Rattus norvegicus: one gene and its partners. The protein of the gene in region 1 binds, or shares a complex with, the protein of each later gene. Links are inferred from orthologs where the notes say so. Each region holds a gene or a part of one and is shown in the gene's direction. Other genes may lie near its edges.

What was found.
Region 2: the proteins of Ints11 (region 1) and Wdr73 are in contact, whole or in part, in a cryo-EM structure (PDB 8R22), measured with the Homo sapiens proteins. The link is inferred for Rattus norvegicus from reciprocal best matches to the Homo sapiens genes INTS11 and WDR73. Residues at the interface, in NP_060341.2 of Homo sapiens: Tyr206, Thr208, Thr209, Ile210, Arg211, Asp212, Ser213, Arg215, Cys216, Arg217, Glu218, Arg219, Asp220, Leu222, Lys223, Lys224, His226, Phe255, Arg258, Met259, Leu364, Val384, Glu385, Tyr386, Ser388, Lys418, Lys419, Glu421, Phe422, Gln425; in NP_116245.2 of Homo sapiens: Asp5, Asp6, Leu8, Val9, Ser11, Leu12, Tyr15, Gln16, Phe18, Tyr19, Ala20, Phe21, Asp22, Leu23, Glu50, Leu52, Arg59, Leu68, Phe69, Pro70, Glu71, Arg72, Asp73, Phe74, Lys75, Val76, Gly79, Phe81, Asp116, Ser117.
Region 3: the proteins of Ints11 (region 1) and Ints4 are in contact, whole or in part, in a cryo-EM structure (PDB 7BFP), measured with the Homo sapiens proteins. The link is inferred for Rattus norvegicus from reciprocal best matches to the Homo sapiens genes INTS11 and INTS4. Residues at the interface, in NP_060341.2 of Homo sapiens: Pro183, Trp191, Lys194, Asp212, Gln288, Gln400, Gln404, Lys462, Met465, Ala466, Leu469; in NP_291025.3 of Homo sapiens: Leu159, Asp161, Thr162, Arg167, Tyr203, Gln207, Asp244, Ser292, Gly294, Trp296, Arg299, Lys323, Met326, Ser327, Asp328.
Region 4: the proteins of Ints11 (region 1) and Ints9 are in contact, whole or in part, in a cryo-EM structure (PDB 8RC4), measured with the Homo sapiens proteins. The link is inferred for Rattus norvegicus from reciprocal best matches to the Homo sapiens genes INTS11 and INTS9. Residues at the interface, in NP_060341.2 of Homo sapiens: His94, Gln97, Ala98, His137, Leu138, His139, Gln140, Thr141, Lys274, His277, Tyr278, Lys280, Leu281, Phe282, Ile283, Pro284, Trp285, Arg291, Phe294, Ser449, Pro450, Ser451, Ile452, Pro453, Val454, Gly455, Ile456, Ser457, Leu458, Leu461; in NP_060720.2 of Homo sapiens: Glu127, Gly198, Tyr199, Ser200, Gln201, Lys202, Tyr231, Glu338, Phe339, Ile342, Phe343, Glu345, Gln352, Lys354, Val355, Tyr356, Leu357, Pro358, Glu359, Pro360, Pro361, Arg511, Arg512, Tyr513, Glu514, Lys515, Ile516, Glu517, Ile518, Met519.
Region 5: the proteins of Ints11 (region 1) and Brat1 are in contact, whole or in part, in a cryo-EM structure (PDB 8UIB), measured with the Homo sapiens proteins. The link is inferred for Rattus norvegicus from reciprocal best matches to the Homo sapiens genes INTS11 and BRAT1. Residues at the interface, in NP_060341.2 of Homo sapiens: Leu9, Val15, Gly16, Lys27, Met35, His36, Met37, Gly38, Phe39, Arg43, Asp47, Tyr50, Thr58, Asp59, Asp62, His70, Leu71, Asp72, His73, Asp87, Gly88, Gln97, Pro101, Ile102, Glu105, Arg108, Lys109, Val112, Asp113, Lys114; in NP_689956.2 of Homo sapiens: Asp25, Thr27, Cys28, Glu30, Lys31, Asp34, Pro117, Ser156, Ser157, Leu158, Phe159, Ser162, Lys358, Ser359, Cys366, Arg367, Arg424, Arg427, Thr465, Lys468, Lys469, Trp514, Glu515, Asp518, Ser519, Glu522, Tyr560, Ser564, Ser604, Glu605.

The regions. Positions count from the first base shown.
Region 1 is NC_086023.1:171,774,894-171,778,406, forward strand, and holds part of Ints11 (integrator complex subunit 11), read left to right. Parts: exon of another isoform or gene 1-1,518; coding exon 1,519-1,617; coding exon of another isoform or gene 1,618-1,702; coding exon 1,703-1,737; exon of another isoform or gene 1,738-1,972; coding exon 1,973-2,111; exon of another isoform or gene 2,112-2,495; coding exon 2,496-2,560; exon of another isoform or gene 2,561-3,007; coding exon 3,008-3,197; exon of another isoform or gene 3,198-3,328; coding exon 3,329-3,412; exon of another isoform or gene 3,413-3,513.
Region 2 is NC_086019.1:144,274,907-144,279,141, reverse strand, and holds the start of Wdr73 (WD repeat-containing protein 73), read left to right. Parts: upstream 1-1,434; 5' UTR 1,435-1,481; coding exon 1,482-1,522; intron 1,523-1,964; coding exon 1,965-2,032; intron 2,033-2,234; coding exon 2,235-2,323; intron 2,324-2,631; coding exon 2,632-2,720; intron 2,721-3,255; coding exon 3,256-3,320; intron 3,321-4,235. Other genes in the region: Nmb (neuromedin-B), read left to right, coding at 205-258. UniProt on the Homo sapiens protein: Component of a multiprotein complex required for the assembly of the RNA endonuclease module of the integrator complex. Associates with INTS9 and INTS11 in the cytoplasm, stabilizing the INTS9-INTS11 heterodimer and blocking the active site of INTS11.
Region 3 is NC_086019.1:161,207,778-161,211,290, forward strand, and holds part of Ints4 (integrator complex subunit 4), read left to right. Parts: intron 1-34; coding exon 35-152; intron 153-3,513. UniProt on the Homo sapiens protein: Component of the integrator complex, a multiprotein complex that terminates RNA polymerase II (Pol II) transcription in the promoter-proximal region of genes.
Region 4 is NC_086033.1:43,449,225-43,452,737, forward strand, and holds part of Ints9 (integrator complex subunit 9), read left to right. Parts: intron 1-161; coding exon 162-333; intron 334-3,513. UniProt on the Homo sapiens protein: Component of the integrator complex, a multiprotein complex that terminates RNA polymerase II (Pol II) transcription in the promoter-proximal region of genes.
Region 5 is NC_086030.1:19,045,596-19,048,699, reverse strand, and holds part of Brat1 (BRCA1-associated ATM activator 1), read left to right. Parts: intron 1-870; coding exon 871-962; intron 963-1,145; coding exon 1,146-1,264; intron 1,265-1,337; coding exon 1,338-1,524; intron 1,525-1,714; coding exon 1,715-1,788; intron 1,789-3,104. UniProt on the Homo sapiens protein: Component of a multiprotein complex required for the assembly of the RNA endonuclease module of the integrator complex.

The DNA.
Region 1 (3,513 bases):
GTACAGCATCTTATCCTATTTCCAGGATAGAGTTAGCAGAAATTATCATACAATTGGAGGAAGTCAGCAGGAAGCTAATGAGCACTCTTGCACAAAGAACACGAAAGCATTATAGACTGAACACATAGTTCAGTCTCAGTGCATTGTCTCTTCAGGGGAACGAATCAAGTTCCCAGGAACTGAAACTTTAACTCCTTCGAGGCCTCACATCCCAGCCCCATCCTGGGCCTTACCTAGTCTGTCCCTGTGCAAGAACACAGAACTGTTCCTCCCATCAGGGCCTCTGATCTGTCTGGCTCTCAGTGCTGCAGTCAGATGGTTTCTCCCCATGACTTGGCTGGTTAGAGTCTAACCCTAGCAGCAACTCCCACTTATACTATGGTGGGGCTCTCAGTGATCCCCCAGGCTCTCGTCCCTCCAGGATGTGCTCTTTTATTTACCTCCTGTTTACTGCCCAAGGCCCTGGGCCTCCCTGTCCTCCCAGGGGCAGAGTTTTCACTTCGAAGGCATTTTCCCAATTCCAAAGAACATGCCTGCAGCACAACCCCTTTCCTTTGTTTGCTGTTCCTGGAAGCTCTGCAGTTATCCCTTTTCGTGAGGTGCACAGTCCAGCGTCTTAGTGATCATTTCCTGTGGAGTCCTGTCTGCTCCTGTTCAGGCTGCTTTCCCTTTGGCCTTGACAGGCTGTACTCTGAGGGACCTTGGTCTACTTCTGGGTTAGTGTAGGTCTTTAATTCTTCCTGGAGCTCTGAGTAGCTTAACATTAGATCTTTTCACTATAGGCCTTTCATTATCCATTTTGTGTTCTATTTCATGCTGAATTTAATTTTTTTTTTTTTTTTTTGGCTTGAGGCAGTCTCACTGCACAGCCCAGGTTGGCCTCAAAACTCTATCATCCTGCTTCAGCCTTCCAAGAACTCAAGAACTGAGATAACAGTTAAATGTCGCCACGTGCAGTGCTTCAACATTTTAGACATGCATTCCTTCTCTTGACTTTATTCACTATGCTAAATTCTACTCGTTCTCCTGAGGTCGGACTTCACTATGTAGCTCAGGCTGGCCTCATAGCAGTCCTCCTGCCTAGCTTCCTGAGTGACACACAGACTTGTACCACCATACCCAGCTTCACCTACTGAAGTCTTAGCTGGGGTGTCTACAGTTCCTAGTTTTAGAATTTCTTCTTTGTAGTGTTTGGAGTTGATTTGTACTGTCTAGAAGTGTGGCTTCTAGGGGTCGGGGATTTAGCTCAGTGGTAGAGCGCTTGCCTAGGAAGCGCAAGGCCCTGGGTTCAGTCCCCAGCTCCGGAAAAAAAGAACCAAAAAAAAAAAAAAAAAAAAAAAAAGAAGTGTGGCTTCTAGATCCTTAGATAATTAACCTAGTTTTGTTTTTACTATGCTACAACCCTCAAGCCCTAGACTTCTTGTGAGAAACAGGAATTAACTGGACTGGGTTAAGGTAATCATCTACTTCCTGCTGCCTTCCTGCCCTGCAGGCCTAAGAGCATTCTTTCTTCCACAGGTGGATGATGAACTGGAAATCAAGGCGTACTATGCAGGCCATGTGTTGGGGGCAGCCATGTTCCAGATTAAAGTGGGCTCAGAGTCTGTGGTCTACACGGTCAGTGGAAGTATTTGTTTGGTGCTTGAGTGAAATTGCTGGGGGTAGAAGAAAGACAACTTCCTTATTGCATTTTCTTTGCCAGGGTGATTATAACATGACTCCAGACCGGCATTTGGGGTAAGTAGGACTGTGTCTCACCCTGGGACCTGGTAGCTCTAAGAGGCATCATGGTGGGCACCTAAGTACTCTCATGCAGTGTGGAAGTACCTTTGGGAGTCTAGGCTACAGGCTCATCCCCCTGTTGTCTCCTCCGAGTATGCTGCCATGACGTTTGACAGGCCATATAGCGGAGCTCGTGTCCAATTCTGTAGTCATGGACAGTCCATCATCCCCACTCCTACCTCTGCTCTAGGGCTGCTTGGATTGACAAGTGTCGTCCCAACCTGCTCATCACAGAGTCCACATATGCCACAACCATCCGAGATTCCAAACGCTGCAGAGAGCGAGACTTCCTGAAGAAAGTTCATGAGACTGTGGAGCGTGGCGGAAAGGTATTGACTGCAGGCAGGCTTTGGGTGTGTGCCCACTTTGGCTACACTCTAGGCCTCCTAGCAGGCCTTGCTGTCGTACCTTTGGTCAGGGTCTCTGGGTGTGGGAGTTGTGGTTTGTGTGGCACTAAGAAGACAGATTCCAGAGTCTTCCATTCTCTCACGGTTGCATCTGATGAAGGCTGTTCAAGAGCCTCCCACAGTTCCTGCTGTCTCTGCATGTAGCCAGGTACCATATCTGTGGTTCTTAGATGGCTGTCTGTTCCTTTGCAGTAATGTCCTCATTTAACTTGCTAATGGGTGCACTGAGTATCTTGCTATTTGATGTGTTCAGGAACAGTAGTGTAGCCGGTAGCTCTGAACTGAACCAGCTTCACCTGCCCCCAGGTGCTGATCCCTGTGTTTGCGCTGGGCCGAGCACAAGAACTCTGCATCCTGCTGGAGACCTTCTGGTAGGTGCAGACAGGAAAATCTCACAGGTAGGCAGGAAAGGGTGGAACAGCCTCCATGTAGGAGAGTAAACCTCTCACGCTACCAGGCACAGTGGAACTGTTAAGAAGTCAAGGCACCACTGACTACCACTGAGTACCACTGGCCCTGCTGTCTGGGGTGGAGCTGTGCATCTGTTGGGCCATCACACTGGAGCCATCATCTGTTGACTGTATTGGCCCCATATGAACACTGAGTCTCCTCACATGAGCTCTGGGGACCCCTATCACTCCCGTGTTTCATAGGTCACAAGCTAAGAGGTCTGGCCTGGAGGTCACCAGGTTGATAGAGACACCACAGGGTTCAGTTCAAGGTGCACTAGACTCAGCCCTGGCCACAGCTAAGCTATGCAGTAGAGGACACAGGGATATGCGTTGCAGGCTAACTCTGGCCTCCATATACTGACACAGGGAGCGCATGAACCTGAAGGTGCCCATCTACTTCTCTACGGGCCTGACAGAGAAAGCCAACCATTATTACAAGCTCTTCATCACCTGGACCAACCAGAAGATCCGGAAGACATTTGTCCAGAGGAACATGTTTGAGTTTAAGCACATCAAAGCCTTTGACCGGACATTTGCTGACAACCCAGGACCCATGGTAAGGCTCTGGCAATGCAGCTTCTCCACATCTGGCCTCCCAGTGGGGCTTTGGGAAAGACTGTTGGTCAAAGATCTGGTGCTTGTTGCACCCCCAGGTAAGGTCTGTTCTGTCCCTTGTCCACCCTGCAGGTTGTATTTGCTACACCTGGGATGCTGCACGCTGGCCAATCCCTGCAGATCTTCCGAAAATGGGCAGGAAATGAGAAGAACATGGTGAGGGTTTGGGACCAATCCCCAAGTGCCAAGAGGGCTCTTTATAGCTTTAGCGAACTGGAGTACAGAACTGGTCCTTGACCTTTGTGTCCTGACCCTAT
Region 2 (4,235 bases), on another chromosome or scaffold:
CTTTGGTTGTCATGACTACCCTGTGAAAGTTAGGGCTAGATTCTGGGAAAACCATTACCCCTGACTCCTCAGGTCTTTCAGGGAGAAGGGTTCTCACTCAGAGGCTCAGCTGAGAGCCTGTCACTACTGCCCCCCTGTGTACACTCAGCATATCCCTCATTCGTGGACTCCAGGATCGAGTTTTCTCTTTTGCCTTCAGTACAGGAGGCTGCTGCAGAAGTGACGCCAATAATGGAACAAACACGGCACTGGGCGTAGCATGCGTCCATCCAGGGAAACTGAGGAATGGAACCCTAGCAGTGGCCTCCTCTGGATGTGAAACCTAAGCTCAAATGTGTTACTCTGTTACTGTGATTTCTGGTTGGGTCACCAGGAATGTTAACGATACAGACACAGTCTTTCCTGCTGTATTTCTTGCTTCCCTGGTGAAGTTGTGAATAAAAATACTGCTCTTTACGAAGACTGTCTGGGCCTCTCCTTCCACCCACATTTGAGGAAAAAGGGAAGGGCTCTCTGGAGGGTGGAATGTTCAGAGAGGTGGTCTTGGGAAAGCCCCATCACCTCTCACCCTGGCACCAGCCAGACAATGAGTGGTTGCCAACTCTCAGCAACCAGGTATTGTGTTGGCTGCACTGACCATTGCCACCCATGAGTTCTGCTACAAAGTCTTCCCCTGCAACGGGAGGCTACCTACACTACGCTACACTGGCCCCATGGAAAACTTTATTGAGGTACCTGGTGCATACCAGAGAGAATCATGCTGGACTCCAGCCCTGCTGTGTTCTTATTCTCTGGATGCAGAGTCCTCCATACATATTGCCAAAGTTATCAAATAAAAATTAAATTGGAATGTCAGATACTTTATTGATAGAGTCTTGTTTAACGTAGACTGAATTTAAATTCCCTATGTAGCAGATGATGACCTAATGCTTCTGATCCTGCCTCTATCCCCTGAGTCCTGGAATTACAGTCCTGTGCCACCATACTGGGTTTTTTGTTTGTTTGTTTGACTGTGGTACTGGAGAGCTAACTCCGTGCACGCTAGGCAAGCACTCTAGCAGCTGAACTACATCCCCAGCCCAACAAGATTCCTTTCATTTAAAAAGAAAATCCTAAAGTATCCTGCACGGACATATTCACGCAAACTTTTAAATTAACTGTTCACCTGAAGTTCCAGTTAAGTCTGTATTGTACCTGGCTTTGGGACATTGACAGCTCTTTGCACAACTTGACCCTAAATATACAGAGGTATATTTGATGTCTCCGATCCTGCTTGTAGCTGACATCGATGAATCTGGGGGGTTTTTTGCCTCGTTTTCATCCGGACTCTGCACACAGAGCCTAAGAAACATCAAGGCTTCGCGCAGCTCTGAGCGCTCACGAACCAGCAAGGCGGAAGACCACGCCCTCTCCTCGCGAGAACGCGCGCCTATCCAGGAAGTCTGGCTGGCGGAAGTGAAGCGACGGAAGCCACAGTTGCTATGGAGCTCGCAGAGGACTGGCTCGTGGAGTCTTTGCGCTTGTAAATCGGGTCGTGGGCGGGTCTGATGGGCAATGGGGGAGGGCGCGGGCCGTCGCGGGCTCGCGGGCAGTGCCCAGGCACGGACGGATGGAGGTCCTGATCTCCGGTTCTAGCTCTGGGACCCTCGGTCCTTTGTAAGCAAGTAATGTGGCCAGATCCGTGCTTGTGAGAGCGGGTAAAACACACATGACCCGTTACCTTATGCCGGCCTCTAGATTAACTTGAACACAGATTCTCTTACTGATCATCTCAACTTGGGGAAATCAACTTTGTGGGAGTTCCACAGGTGAGGAACCAAGTCTCGGTTCCTTATGGTCATCCTGGCCTCTAAAATGCAGGAAAAAAAGATCCAGCCCCATGTCTACCTAACTCCAGAGCCTCGTTCCACCAATCCTTCAGCAATCTCTTGGTTAGCTGTGATTTTTCTTTCCCTGTCCTGCAGGTACCAAGACTTCCATGCATTTGACCTCTCAGGAGCCACTCGAGTTCTTGAATGGGTTGGTGAAAAAGGTAATATACCTCGCCTGCCACTAAAAGAGGTGGGTTTCTGCCTCGGGCCGAACCTTTAGAGAGACCCATTCAACTTCCGTGCCCTGACACAAGGCTGCTCAGAGAATGGGGAAGGTATTTATCCTTTGGGGGAATTTATGAATCCACCCATGATCCACGGTATTTCTAACACTTTGTCATAGTTACTGTTTTGTTTCCTCAGGAGTCTTTGTTGCTGGTTATGAAAGTTTGAAAAAAAATGAGATTCTTCATTTGATTCTACCTCTAAGACTCTCTGTAAAGGAAAACCAGGTAACTTAAATATAGAGAAGCTGATTTATGTGTCGGTTTACTGTGGATTTCTGGAGTGCCTGTTATACCCACTATGTCTGACAAGTACCTGGGTCTGCCTTTCAAGTCCACAGAAGAAGCCGGGCGGTGGTGCGCACCTTTAATCCCTGCACTGGGGAGGCAGAGGCAGGTGGATCTCTGAGTTCAAGGCCAGCCTGGTCTACAGCGTGGGTTCCAGGACAACCAGGGCTACACAGAGACTCTGCCTAGAAAAGCCAAAAAGGACAGGAGAGTTGGTGCTGTCTGACTGCTCTGCCCTTTCATTTTAGGGCTTATACCCAGAGAGGGACTTCAAAGTACGCCACGGAGGATTCTCAGACAGAGCTGTCTTTGACCTAAAGCACGTGCCAGATACCAGGTATGACCAGTCTGTGTCCCAGACTTTCGGTTCTCTGGTGATGACAGGAGATACTCTGCAGGGTCTGTCTTTTTATCCGCATGCCCTCCTCTCAGTGTACAGACATGGGTGGGTATACATGGTGGTGCTGTCACACACAGATGTAGCATCTGAGGAAATCGTTAGCTCAGCAGCCATTTCGATTAGTGGAGCCTCCAAGTCTATGGGGATGCTCCGGGGACCAGATACAGAGTGGAAAAGTACTCTGAAGCTTGTCCGAGAGCTGACAGACCCCTGTACTTCAGCTTTTAGTCGTGGTTCTGTGTTCAGGCTTCCTACGTGTGTCCTTTCTAGGGGACCATCGTGACCTGTGGCAGCCTGGGCTCAGTCTGTGGCTCTCTCTGAGCTGTGATCCTGTCCCTAAAGCAGGAGCCTGCTCATCTGTTGAATGAAGACGGCTGGTCCCGGGGCTCCTGAGTGGGCTGGACAGGAAAGGCTGTTGGGGTGAGGGCAAATTTCCAGTGTGGATTTACAATTTTCCATCCCTTTGGAACAGGTTGCTGGTGACCAGTGGGCTTCCAGGGTGTTACATACAAGTGTGGCAAATTAGAGAAGACAACGGTAAGTGAAGCTCGCTTGTCAGAAGGTGAGGTTTTAGGAAAATGGCTCACACACTCCTGTCTCTTAGCTGAGCCAATGAAAAAGCACTTAAGGGAGGGGACAGGGGACATCACAGTTTCTGTCTACTACGTGCAACAAAGATGAGTTAGCATGCACAGTGTAGCAGACAGGCCTAATGGGACTTCTTTGAACTTCCTCCAGGAGTCCAGTTTACCTCCCCAGCTGCTGGTAGAGCACCTAGAGAGCCAGGGCCTCTCTGCTGGGTGTGGGCAGAGGAAGGGCTGAGCCTGAGCCACTCAGGAGCACTCAGCATGGAGCAGGCGACATGGAGGAGGTCCCTCCTCTTACAGAGTGCTAGTTCTGGGGAAGGGAAGTCGCAAGTGCGCAAGACGCTCACTGTCTTACCCAGAGATCACACCACTGCCCAAGGGGCACAGAGAAAGAGCAGGAAGTGTTGGCTGTCCCTTGTCAGAGTTAGGAAGTCCCCCTGTGGGGACTAGCAGTGGGACTGCAGGCCCTCTTGCCTGATGCAGCCGTTCATCCCACTGGAGGACCCCTGCCTCCACAGAGCCTCCACGGAGCCAGCAGCTCTCACTTCTCCCAGGCTTCCTTGCTGCACAGGCTGCTGTGAGGCTCATCCCTGACCACTGCTCTCTCAGGACTTGTCTGTGTGGTTGTTCACTTACCTATACATGGGGAAGGTTTTTGTTGTTGATTTTTTGTTTTGTTTTGTTTTGATTTTCAAGGCAGGGTTTCTCTGTGTGGCCCTGGGTGTCCTGGAACTCGCTAGAGTAGACCAGGCTGGCCTCAGAGACCTGCCTGCCTCTGCCTCCCTATTAAAAGCTGGGGTTAAAGGCAGTCACCACCCCCACCACCCACCCCCACACACCCCCGGCCTGTTGCTGCTGTTTTAAT
Region 3 (3,513 bases), on another chromosome or scaffold:
ATGACAGATGTGTGTTGTTTCTTGTTTTTTCTAGGAAAATGATCCATCTGTGAGACTGAAAATCGCATCGCTGTTGGGATTATTATCAAAGACTGCAGGATTCTCTCCAGATTGCATAATGGATGATGCCATTAACATACTACAGAATGAAAGTAAGTTGCAGCTGACAGCTATGGGGTCAGAGTGCAAATCTTCAGTTCTACGTACAGAATTTACAACGGTGTTTGGTGTTGATAGTCATTAAAAAGATTTTTTTTTTTTTTTTAACAAGGTAGGGTCTTACTCTAGCCTAGGCTGTCCTGCAACTTATTAGGTACCCAGGATGACCTAAAATCTGAAACAGTCATCTGTCTGAGTCTCCTGAGAGACTCCGTAAGTCACACACCTTCTCCTTAAGAAGGAGTTTGAAGATGGTTTAATGGAGGCGTGTACATGTATCCATATTAGGGCTGAAGTATAGTTTTATGGTCCAGGGATGTAGCTCAGTTGGTAGAATACCTATCTGGCCTAGCATTCACGAAGCTGTGAGCTTAGACTCCATCACTGCATAAACAGGGCAGGTCATAGCTCAGTTGAAGAGGGCTTACCTAGAATGAAGTCCTAGGTTCCATACCTCCCCTTACCCAGCACCACATAAAATGCACATGGTGGTTCACAATGTAATCCTAGCACTTGGAGGTAGACTCAAAAGTTTAGGGTTATCCTTGCCTGCACAGGGAGTTAAAGACTTTAAGGTTTTGCCTCTGTCTATAGCTTCATTTAACAACTATCATTGTGACCTTACAAAGTGCTGTATATTTATTACTGCTTATTTAATATAGAGGTTGGATATTAATTTCCCTTTAAAAAATAATTCCAAGTACTTTTTTCTTTTGGGTTGACTTTTTGGTATTTTTGAGACATAGTCTGGTTGGCCTTGAACTCACATTATAGGTCATGTGGGCCTCACAACTCACAGAGATCTGCCTGCTTCTGTCTTGAAGTATTGAGATTAAAGGTATACATTTCCAAGTATATTTTAAAAATGTTATTTTATAGCTGGGCAGTGGTGGTACACAGTTTTCATCCTAGCATTTGGGAGGCAGAGGCAGGCTGCTCTCTGTGAGTTCAAAGCCAGCCTGGGTAGCCAGGACTACACAGAGAAATGGTGCCTTGAAAAATGAAAAAAATTGGGGTTGGGATTTAGCTCAGTGGTAGAGTGCTTGCCTAGCAAGCGCAAGGCCCTGGGTTCGGTCCTCAGCTCCGAAAGAAAAAAAAAAAAGAAAAAAAGAAAAATGAAAAAAATTACAAAAAGTTTTTTTTCTGTGTATGCATGAATGTGTATGTGTGTGCGGGCGTGTGCGCGTGTATATGTGTGTGCGTGTGTGCGCGTGCACATGTGTATACCCGTGGAGGCCGGAAGATAAAGTCAGATTCCCTGAAGCTGAAGATACAGATGGTTGTGAGCCCTGATGGGATGCTGGGAACTGAAGGCAGGATCTCCAAGGTGAGTAAGCACTCTTAACTACTGCACAATCTCTACAGCTCCTGATGTCCCAATTTTATAACTAAGTAAAGAAAGACTCAGTGAAGTTATTTGTTCAAGCCACATGCCATGTGGCAAAGTTCACTGTACCTGTCGTACATCCAGTAGTGTGAAGGAGAGGGAACGTGTCAGTAAAAGACAGAGAGCTGGAAACCAGGAGGTATTTAAGGAACTTGAGTGGGTTTTGTTTTTGACATAGCACCAGGGAGTGGTGATATGCTTTGAAGATAAATGTTAAGTCTTGAGTGCTAAGGAACATGGACCCCACGTTGGGCACCATCTGTCATTGTAACATTAATTTTGGGGCTGTCTTTTACGTCCTCATAGGTCCAGCACCGTAGTGCCCCACATATCTGGTAGATATCTTGCCAGAAGCACACATCCCAATTCTGTGGTGGCTCAGTTTCTCCAGCCGCCACACACTTTCTTATACTTAAATCGCTACATGAAAGAACACACAACCCAATAACCTCTGATCCAATGATAAGATATAATGGTCCACCTAAACATACAAAGCCCAGTACACATCCATCCCTTAAGAACATTCATAACAACCTGTAAAGGTACAGTGTGGAATCTTAATGTCAGCTTTCATGTTGTTTCTGCCGCTTCTCTCCATCCCTCCTCTCTTCCCCTTTCCCTTCCAGTCACCTCCCCTTCCCTCAGACTTTTCTCCCGCCCATCCTTCCTTCTCAGCTCTTTCTATCCTGTACCAGCCCTTACCTGTATGACATTATCCTACAGTGCAGGACTGTGAAGTTTTATGATTGAGGACATACAATGATCAAGTCAAATTTTAGAAAGACTATGGTACCTCTGGGGAATTTTGTTTGATATTGGGGCATCATTTACTGTCTATGTAGAAATATCCAGTCTGATTGCTCAGAAACTCAGGAGAGAAACTAGGATCAGGATTTAAAGTGTGTGTGTGGGGGGGGGAGGGGGTTGGGGATTTAGCTCAGCGGTAGAGCGCTTGCCTAGCGAGCACAAGGCCCTGGGTTCGGTCCCCAGCTCCGAAAAAAAAAAGAAAAAAAAATAATAAAGTGTGTGTGTGTGTGTGTGTGTGTGTGTGTGTGTGTGTGTGTGTGTGTGTGTGTGAGAGACAGCCTTGTGTGTAGGTTTCCTTGAAGGCTAGAAAAGGGTGTTGAATCCATTGGAGCTGGAATTCCAGGCAGTTGTAAGCTGCTTGGCCTGGGTGTGGGAAATAAAATTCAGTCCTGAATTAGGAGCAAGCTCTCTTAAAAACTGAGCCAGCTCTAGCCCAGGATTCCAGATTTAGATTGGATTTTTGATTTATCAGATGTAAGCTTTGTAAGTTTTAGTTAGCTTTTTGTGGATGTTTCCTTTTTAAGGAAATAAATCAATATGGTAGCATTGAGGGTGTCTTTGCCTCTTAGGTTTCCTGTGATTACCTTTTCATATTTGTGGCTTATTTTATATGTGAGTCCCTTCTGCAGTTTGATCTGAAAGCCTTACACATGGTGGGCAAATGTTACCAGAGAAGTAAACTTCTTACTATGGCCAAGATCACTTGAATTACCTAAAATCCTCTTGTGTTCCACCAACATTATAAGGACTGTATTTTGAAAGACAGAAGCGTGTGTGTGTGTGTGTGTGTGTGTGTGTGTGTGTGTGTGTGTGTGTGTGTGGTTTGCTGAAGTTTATTTTTGCTTTTTGTGTTTTCTTATGAGATAATTCCTCTGGTCATGCTAGCCAGTAATTTCGGCTGGTCGCAGATTTGTTTAATAGTCACTTGTCAAGCACCTATTTGATCATTGTGATGGGAAAATACATCCAAAGCATGCATACAATCAGAAGTTCCAGAAGAGCCTTTATATATATAAGGATGATCTAGTTGAGAAGATTGATGTAAGCCTTTTGTTTTGTTTTTTGATTTGATTCTTTGCCATTTATTAGGTATTGATTGAGCACATAATACGTTATTCTAGATTTTGAGACAATGGAGGTGAAGAAAGTATGGTCTTTGT
Region 4 (3,513 bases), on another chromosome or scaffold:
CACTTGCTGTCTTGGTGAGTTATCTCTGCAGACTTTTGACAGCAGCCCTCAGGCAGGTGTAGCTTCTGTAGTGTCTTCCTAGTCCCCGCTTGCCGTCTCAGTTGTCTTGTTCAGCATTTCTGCAGCTCAGCCATGTTCCTCTGCTCTGGGTTGTATTTTAGCTCATTCAGACCAATAAGCTGAAGCACTACCGCAGCATCCACGGAGACTTCAGCCATGACTTCAGACAGCCGTGTGTGCTGTTCACGGGGCATCCTTCCCTCCGGTTTGGGGACGTCGTCCACTTCATGGAGCTTTGGGGGAAGTCCAGCCTCAACACCGTCATATTTACAGGTAAATCTTAAGAGTAACAAGGCTCCTGTCCTTCCATCGGGCAGACAGGGCGTGAGCCTCCAGGGTAGAGAGGAAAGTATCAATGCAGCCCATCAGCCTTGCACACCCTAGTCTCCTCACTGGAGAAGCTGAGGCAGGAGGATCAAATTCCAGAGCACCCTGTCTCCAAAAATAACAAGAACAACATAGATATAAAGAAATAAAAGTAGGGCTGGAGAGATGGTTCAGCGGTTAAGAGCACTGACTGCTCTTCCAGAGGTCCTGAGTTCAATTCCCAGCAACCACATGGTGGCTCACAACCATCTGTAATGGGATCTGATGCCCTCTTCTGGTGTGTCTGAAGACAGAGACAGTGTACTTATATATAATAAATTTAATAAATCTTTTGAAAAAAAGAAATAAAAGTAAAGCCATGTTGGGCAACTGTTTGTCAACACAACTTTTATTTCTGTTCTTCTCTTTTCTTTTTCAATGCTGAGATCTGCTGTAGTGCTTTGGGATAGGATTTTATACGGTGTTGAGAACCTCAGTGATTCCAATGTTGGCCGGGTCTGACCGGTCGGGATTGTTTACATAGCTGAATCTTGGATCTTTGACTATGCTCTGCTCTGGCTTACAGCTACTCCTCTGGAAACAGACTCCTCAGGAAGGAACAAAGCCTTCAGTGAGATGAGGCCAGACAGAGGTGACTTAGGGATTCTCCCTATTTTATCACTGTAAGGTCTTCTTTACACTGCCTTTAAGCTTAGAAATCTCACAGGCTGTGAAGTCAGAATCCTGAAAGCTTAGTATAGCCTCAAACATGACAATCTATATTAGTCAGGGTTCTCTAGGGGGAGAATGAATCTCTCTTCATTCATAGATAGATAGATAGATAGATAGATAGATAGATAGATAGATATTATTTATCAGTATGGCTGTCAATGGAAAGTTCAATAATCCAGTAGTTGCTCAGTCTCCCAAGGCTGAATGTCTCAGCTGGTCTTTAGTATATGCTGTTATCCTGAAGAAATAGGCCAGTGAAGGATGCTCTGCTAGCAAGGCAAAGGCAAGCAGGCAAAGAGCAAAAGTTCCCTTCTTGTCCTATATAGGCTGTCAGCAGAGGTGTGGCCCACATTAAAGGTGTGTCTTCCCACCTCAAAGGTCTGAATTAGAAATGGATTCTCCACCTCAAACCAAGCGAAAGTAATCTCTCACAGGTGCCTTCTATTTTTGAACTGTAATTTGTTCCAGAGATAGTCAAGTTGACAACCAGGAATAGCCATCACACCATCGCTAGCGTCACCTTCTTCTCGGCAGAGATGGGGTGACAGATTCACAGATGTTGGGTGACATTACAAGAATTCTACAATTAGTCATCTCGGTGTCCTGTGTAGAAGAAGCAAGAATATAACCAGGCTGGGATAATTACCCCTGTTGGGCTGGAACAGGGTTAACTTTGAGTTGGAGCTGGATTTTTAGAAAGGTTTTCGTGGATTTGTTATGTGCTCTGTGAAGTGTGTGTCCAACAGTGGCTCAGCTGTGCCAGGAGCTCCTGACCCTTAGGGACTACTTTGTGGTTCCTCAGACACCTTTGGAAAACAAAGACAGGCTGTCAGGTCGTAGTAGATTAATTCACAAAGCCCAAAACTTGGCCATCATCAGAATTTTGCTAAGGTTGTCAGATAATACCATGTGGTAAGGGAGTGGCTGGTCTCTCCTGCTCTCTCTGAGCTATATCATGTGACAATACTTAAAGACTTCCATGGGCACAGTGAGAGAGTCCAGCTAAGAAGCCAAGGGCTGTGACTTGACTCGTGGTAGCACTGGGCAACATGCTGACATTTCATTGGCTGGTGGGTGGTTTCTAATCCCTGCTCAAGTGAGGCGGAGTTTGTCTGCCTTTGCTGCTTGTGTTGACGACTATATAGTATTCCTTCTGGGGTGGCCATGTTAGCAGAGGTTTTAGAATGAAAGCGTGGCTCTGGCAATCCTATAAGCTGGGCTCAGCCACCCATCCCTAAGATGCCAAGTAAAGGGACAAAATAGGGAAAAGCAGAGGAAGAGTCATTCAGAGTGGCCATATCATGAAGAACAGGTGAGGGACCCATCTTTGGGGTAGAACATAGATTTACATTTAAGTAGAGGTCTTACCGTATGCCTAATTAGCAGTCCTGGTCAGGATGAGGGTCTGCCCATCACTGATCCATCATCCTCCGTCTGCAGAGTGGTCCTGTAAGTTGCTGGACTGTGAAATCTCTTCGTGGGTGGGGGGAGGGGTCCTCCTCTCGCTGCAATTAGCATTTCAGTCTTTTCCTACCCCAATGTGAGAGTCATGGGGAGGCTTTAATTCTTTGAGGTCCATTGCCTCAGTAGTTGGATAAGCTGAGAGGAAGTCTTAGACAGACTATACCTGTCCCTTTGGGTATTGTAGGGTGAGCACAATATACTGTTCTCTTGGCTCTGTGGGCAGCTCATTTGGTATGAATACTCCCTGCCAAGCAAGCACTGGTAGCTGTTGAGAGGAAAAACTAGGCAATGTGACAGATTGCTCCTCTGAAGGTCTGGGCTCCTGGTGGGAGAGCCTGTTGACATGGACCAGGTCTCTGTGATGTCTGAGGTCTGACACCCAGTAAGTGTCTGCAGTCCTTTGTGTCCCACCTGATGTTAATTCTGAGCAGCTGATGGGGTATTCCTGTGGCTGTGCAGGTCCTGCCACTGTAAACTGTTTGTCTCTATGTGTATGCGTACTCTCTCTACATGTGTACACCTGCGTGCCAGAAGAGGGCATCAGACCCATTATCGATGGCTGTGAGCCTCAATGTAGTTGTTGGGAATTGAACTCAGGACTTCTGGAAGAGCAGCCAGTGTTCCTAACCGCTACACCGTCTTTCCAGCCCTCCTGTTCAGCTCTTGCAGGAGCTCAAGAGAATGTATATCCCATTCTTCCCCAGCTTTCTATCCAGAATTTCAGCACTGATTAATGACTCCTGAATACATTATCACTGCTGTGCTTCCAAATGACAATTTTCTATGCTGTTACTTTCTTCTTTTTGGGACAGGGTCTTCACTGTTTAGCCCAGAATGGCCTTAAACTAGCAGTTCCCTGCCTCCCAACCTCCAAAGTGTACAGCCACACACAGTTCTTTTCCTTTCTGTTTTGAGCTGATGGTTTGTTTAGAGCAAAGTCCATTTCCTGTC
Region 5 (3,104 bases), on another chromosome or scaffold:
CTGGGGATTCTAGGCAGGGGCTCTATGCTGAGCCACACCCCAGCCCCTCACTGGGGGATTCTAGGCAGGGGCTCTACCACTGAGCCACACCCCAGCCCCTCACTGGGGGATTCTAGGCAGGGGCTCTACCACTGAGCCACGCCCCCAGCCCCTCACTGGGGGATTCTAGGCAGGGGCTCTGTCATAGAACTATATGCACAGTTTTCTTTTTCTTCTTAGTTGGAGGCAGTCTCACTGAGCTGCCCAGGCTGTCCTGGAAATAACTCCTTAGGTTAAGCTGGCCTTGAACTTTACATTCCCACCTCAGCCTCCTGATACCACGCTAAGCAAGAGACAGAACGATTCAAATTAAAGTTTGTGGTACCCCAGACCTAAAGCTAACTTCTGTGCTTTCTCTAGCTGTCCTCTCACCTCCAATAAGGCTGAGCCAGGCTCCTGGAGCTGATGGGGTGTGCAGAGGTGTGGGCTGCTGAGTGTGGGATGCAGAGAGGAGAGGTACTAAGGGTCTGAGCAGGCTCAGTTCATCAGAGTGCTCCATCACATAATGTGAAAAAGGCCACCTTAAGTCATCGAACACAGCATGAGTATACTTGGGCACTGTCCTAGAAGCCAGGAAATTCCCAGTCACTCTGATCAGGGAGTGTGACCAGCCTTTCTGGGGCCCCTGAGACCCAGCAACAACCGCTCCTAGGGACAGCAGGGCCAAGCCTTGGTCAGGCCTCTCCTCCTATCCTGGTTCCTAGCTAGTAGCTTGTAGACAAAGTGTTTCAGAGGAGCCTGTACTGAGACACCATACTAAGACACCGTAGACTCTGTAGGATGCTCAGACTGGGGCCAGAGAATAACCCTCATGCTGTACTATGTCCCCAGTCCCCAGGAACTGAGGACCCAGGCCTTTAGAGTCCTCCTTCAGCCACTGGCCTGCATCCTGAAAGCTACCACTCAGGCCCCTGGACCTCCAGGTATGCAGGGAGGGTGGAACCCTCCATTCTTAGGCAAAGAACAGTGAGCTACCCTGCTCCCACTCAGACCTCCAACTAAAAGTACACTGGACAGCATCCCTGAACCGCCCTGGCCCTGAACTTGAAACCTGGCCCTTGCTTTGGATGGCGGTCACTGAAGGGATGCTTTTGTCCTTGTCTTAGGCTTGCTGGACGGGACTGCGGGTAGCTTGCTGACTGTGGATGCACTCTTATCTTCAAAGTCGGCCTGTGTGGGGCTCCTCTGCCAGACTCTGGCGCACCTGGAGGAGCTGCAGATGCTGGTAAGTGTAGCCAGGCCTCGTGTCATCGAGCCACATGACCCCAGACCTCTGCTGACGTTCCTCCTCCCTGCAGCCCCAGTGCCCCTCACCGTGGCCACAGGTGCCTCTGCTGCAAGCTGCTGTGACGATATTGCGTCTCTCTGACGGCTCGGCGGACCCCAGTTCCAGTGCAGGAGGCCGTCTCTGTGGGGCGCTGGGTGGCTGTGTTCGTGTCCAGCGAGCAGCCCTTGACTTCTTGGGGACGCTGTCTCTGGGGACAAGTGAGTGCTGTGTTCTCTTGCCCTGAGTTCACTTTCTCTTCTCTTTCTTCTGGAGGGTCCATTGGGCCCTCAGGTAGCCCTCGGGTAGCTTCTGACCTCTGCCTCCATAGAGTTTGGAATGCTTGCTCCCTGCCGTGTGGCAGGCTCTGTGTAGAAGTTGGGTTGATGTTTCCACTCATGTCTGTTCCAGGCCCCCTGGAATTGGTGCTGGAGGTATTTGCTGTCCTCCTGAAGACCCTGGAGAGCCCAGAGTCCAGCCCCATGGTACAGTAAATGAGTTCTGGGAAGCCCGTACAGCTGGGGACCTTCTCACTTATGAGTGCTTCCAAAGGGGCCACCGAGCCACTGCCCAGAATGACCTTTCCAGCCCGTGTAATGGAACACACTTGTAACCCCCCACAGATGTGGTAGAGACTGGAGAATCATAAGTTCAAGGCCAGTCTGGGCTACAAAGAGACCCTGACAAGCTGGGTGCAGTCATTCACGCCATTAGTTCCAGTACATGGGAGGCAGAGGCAGGCAAATCTCTATATAGTTTGTGGCCAGCTTGGTCTACGAAAGGAGTTCCAGGCCAGCCAAGGCCACACGGTAGGACTACGAGGGGGCAGAGACGCTTGACACAAGGTCAAAACTGGTAGCAGTGGTTGCATGGGACCCAGGATCCAGTCTGTGCTGGTGAGGCTTACATTTAAAAGGAATTCTGTAGTAATATTTTAAAAAATCCCGGTGCGGGGTTTCTTCCCGCCTTAGACTATTTATGTACCGGCATAAAAGATTATCTTGTGAAATACACCTTAGGCAGCGCCCACCCTCCATGCTGTTAGAATCCCCTTTCCTATTGCCGACTCAGAGTTACCACTTCCTCATGTCTGTGTTCTGTCTGGGCTCCTCCTACCTCGTTGGCCGGCCCACGTGCCCATGTTTTATGTCACAGCTCTCCCAGGGCAGCTCTCCTTCCCCTGCTTGTTCTTCCTCTTCCACTGGGGGGTGGGAGGGGCTCCTTTTTCCTCCTCCTCCCGCTTCCTTGTCCCAAGCCCAGAAAACCTAAGCCCCGCCCATGTCTTCTCCCCAGCTATTGGCTGCTGGCATCTGTATTTACCAATCAGAATTAACGGGGGGCCGGGTTCCCCAGTGTCTTACCCTGTCTTCTGGCAGTGGGGGGTCCCACATTAGCATTGAGTGTGGGCAGTGCCCACTTCTGAAGCTTTGGGGGAGCCAGGGATGGAGATGGAGTTGGGGCATGACTGCTAACCCAGCGCTCTGGGCAGTCTTGCCTGAGTGGCTCTTGTTTGTCTTTCTGAGACAGGATGTTACTCTGTGGCCCAAGCTGGCCTCCTGCTGTCTGCACCATGCTCTGCCATTCACGCAATTCTTAAGGAGGGAAGGGCATTGGGGCACATTCTCATGCATTCTCCTGCTCCTGGGTGTAGTCTTGGTGCTGGGTGCTGCCAGGCAGAATGGACCTTATAGAAGGAGAGGCTTGGGGTGGGGGTTGGTGTCATATCCACATGAGGCCATCGCATCACCCCAGGCAGGACTTGTGAGTCTCACTGTCTGGGAGGCCACTCACCTATGCTCTC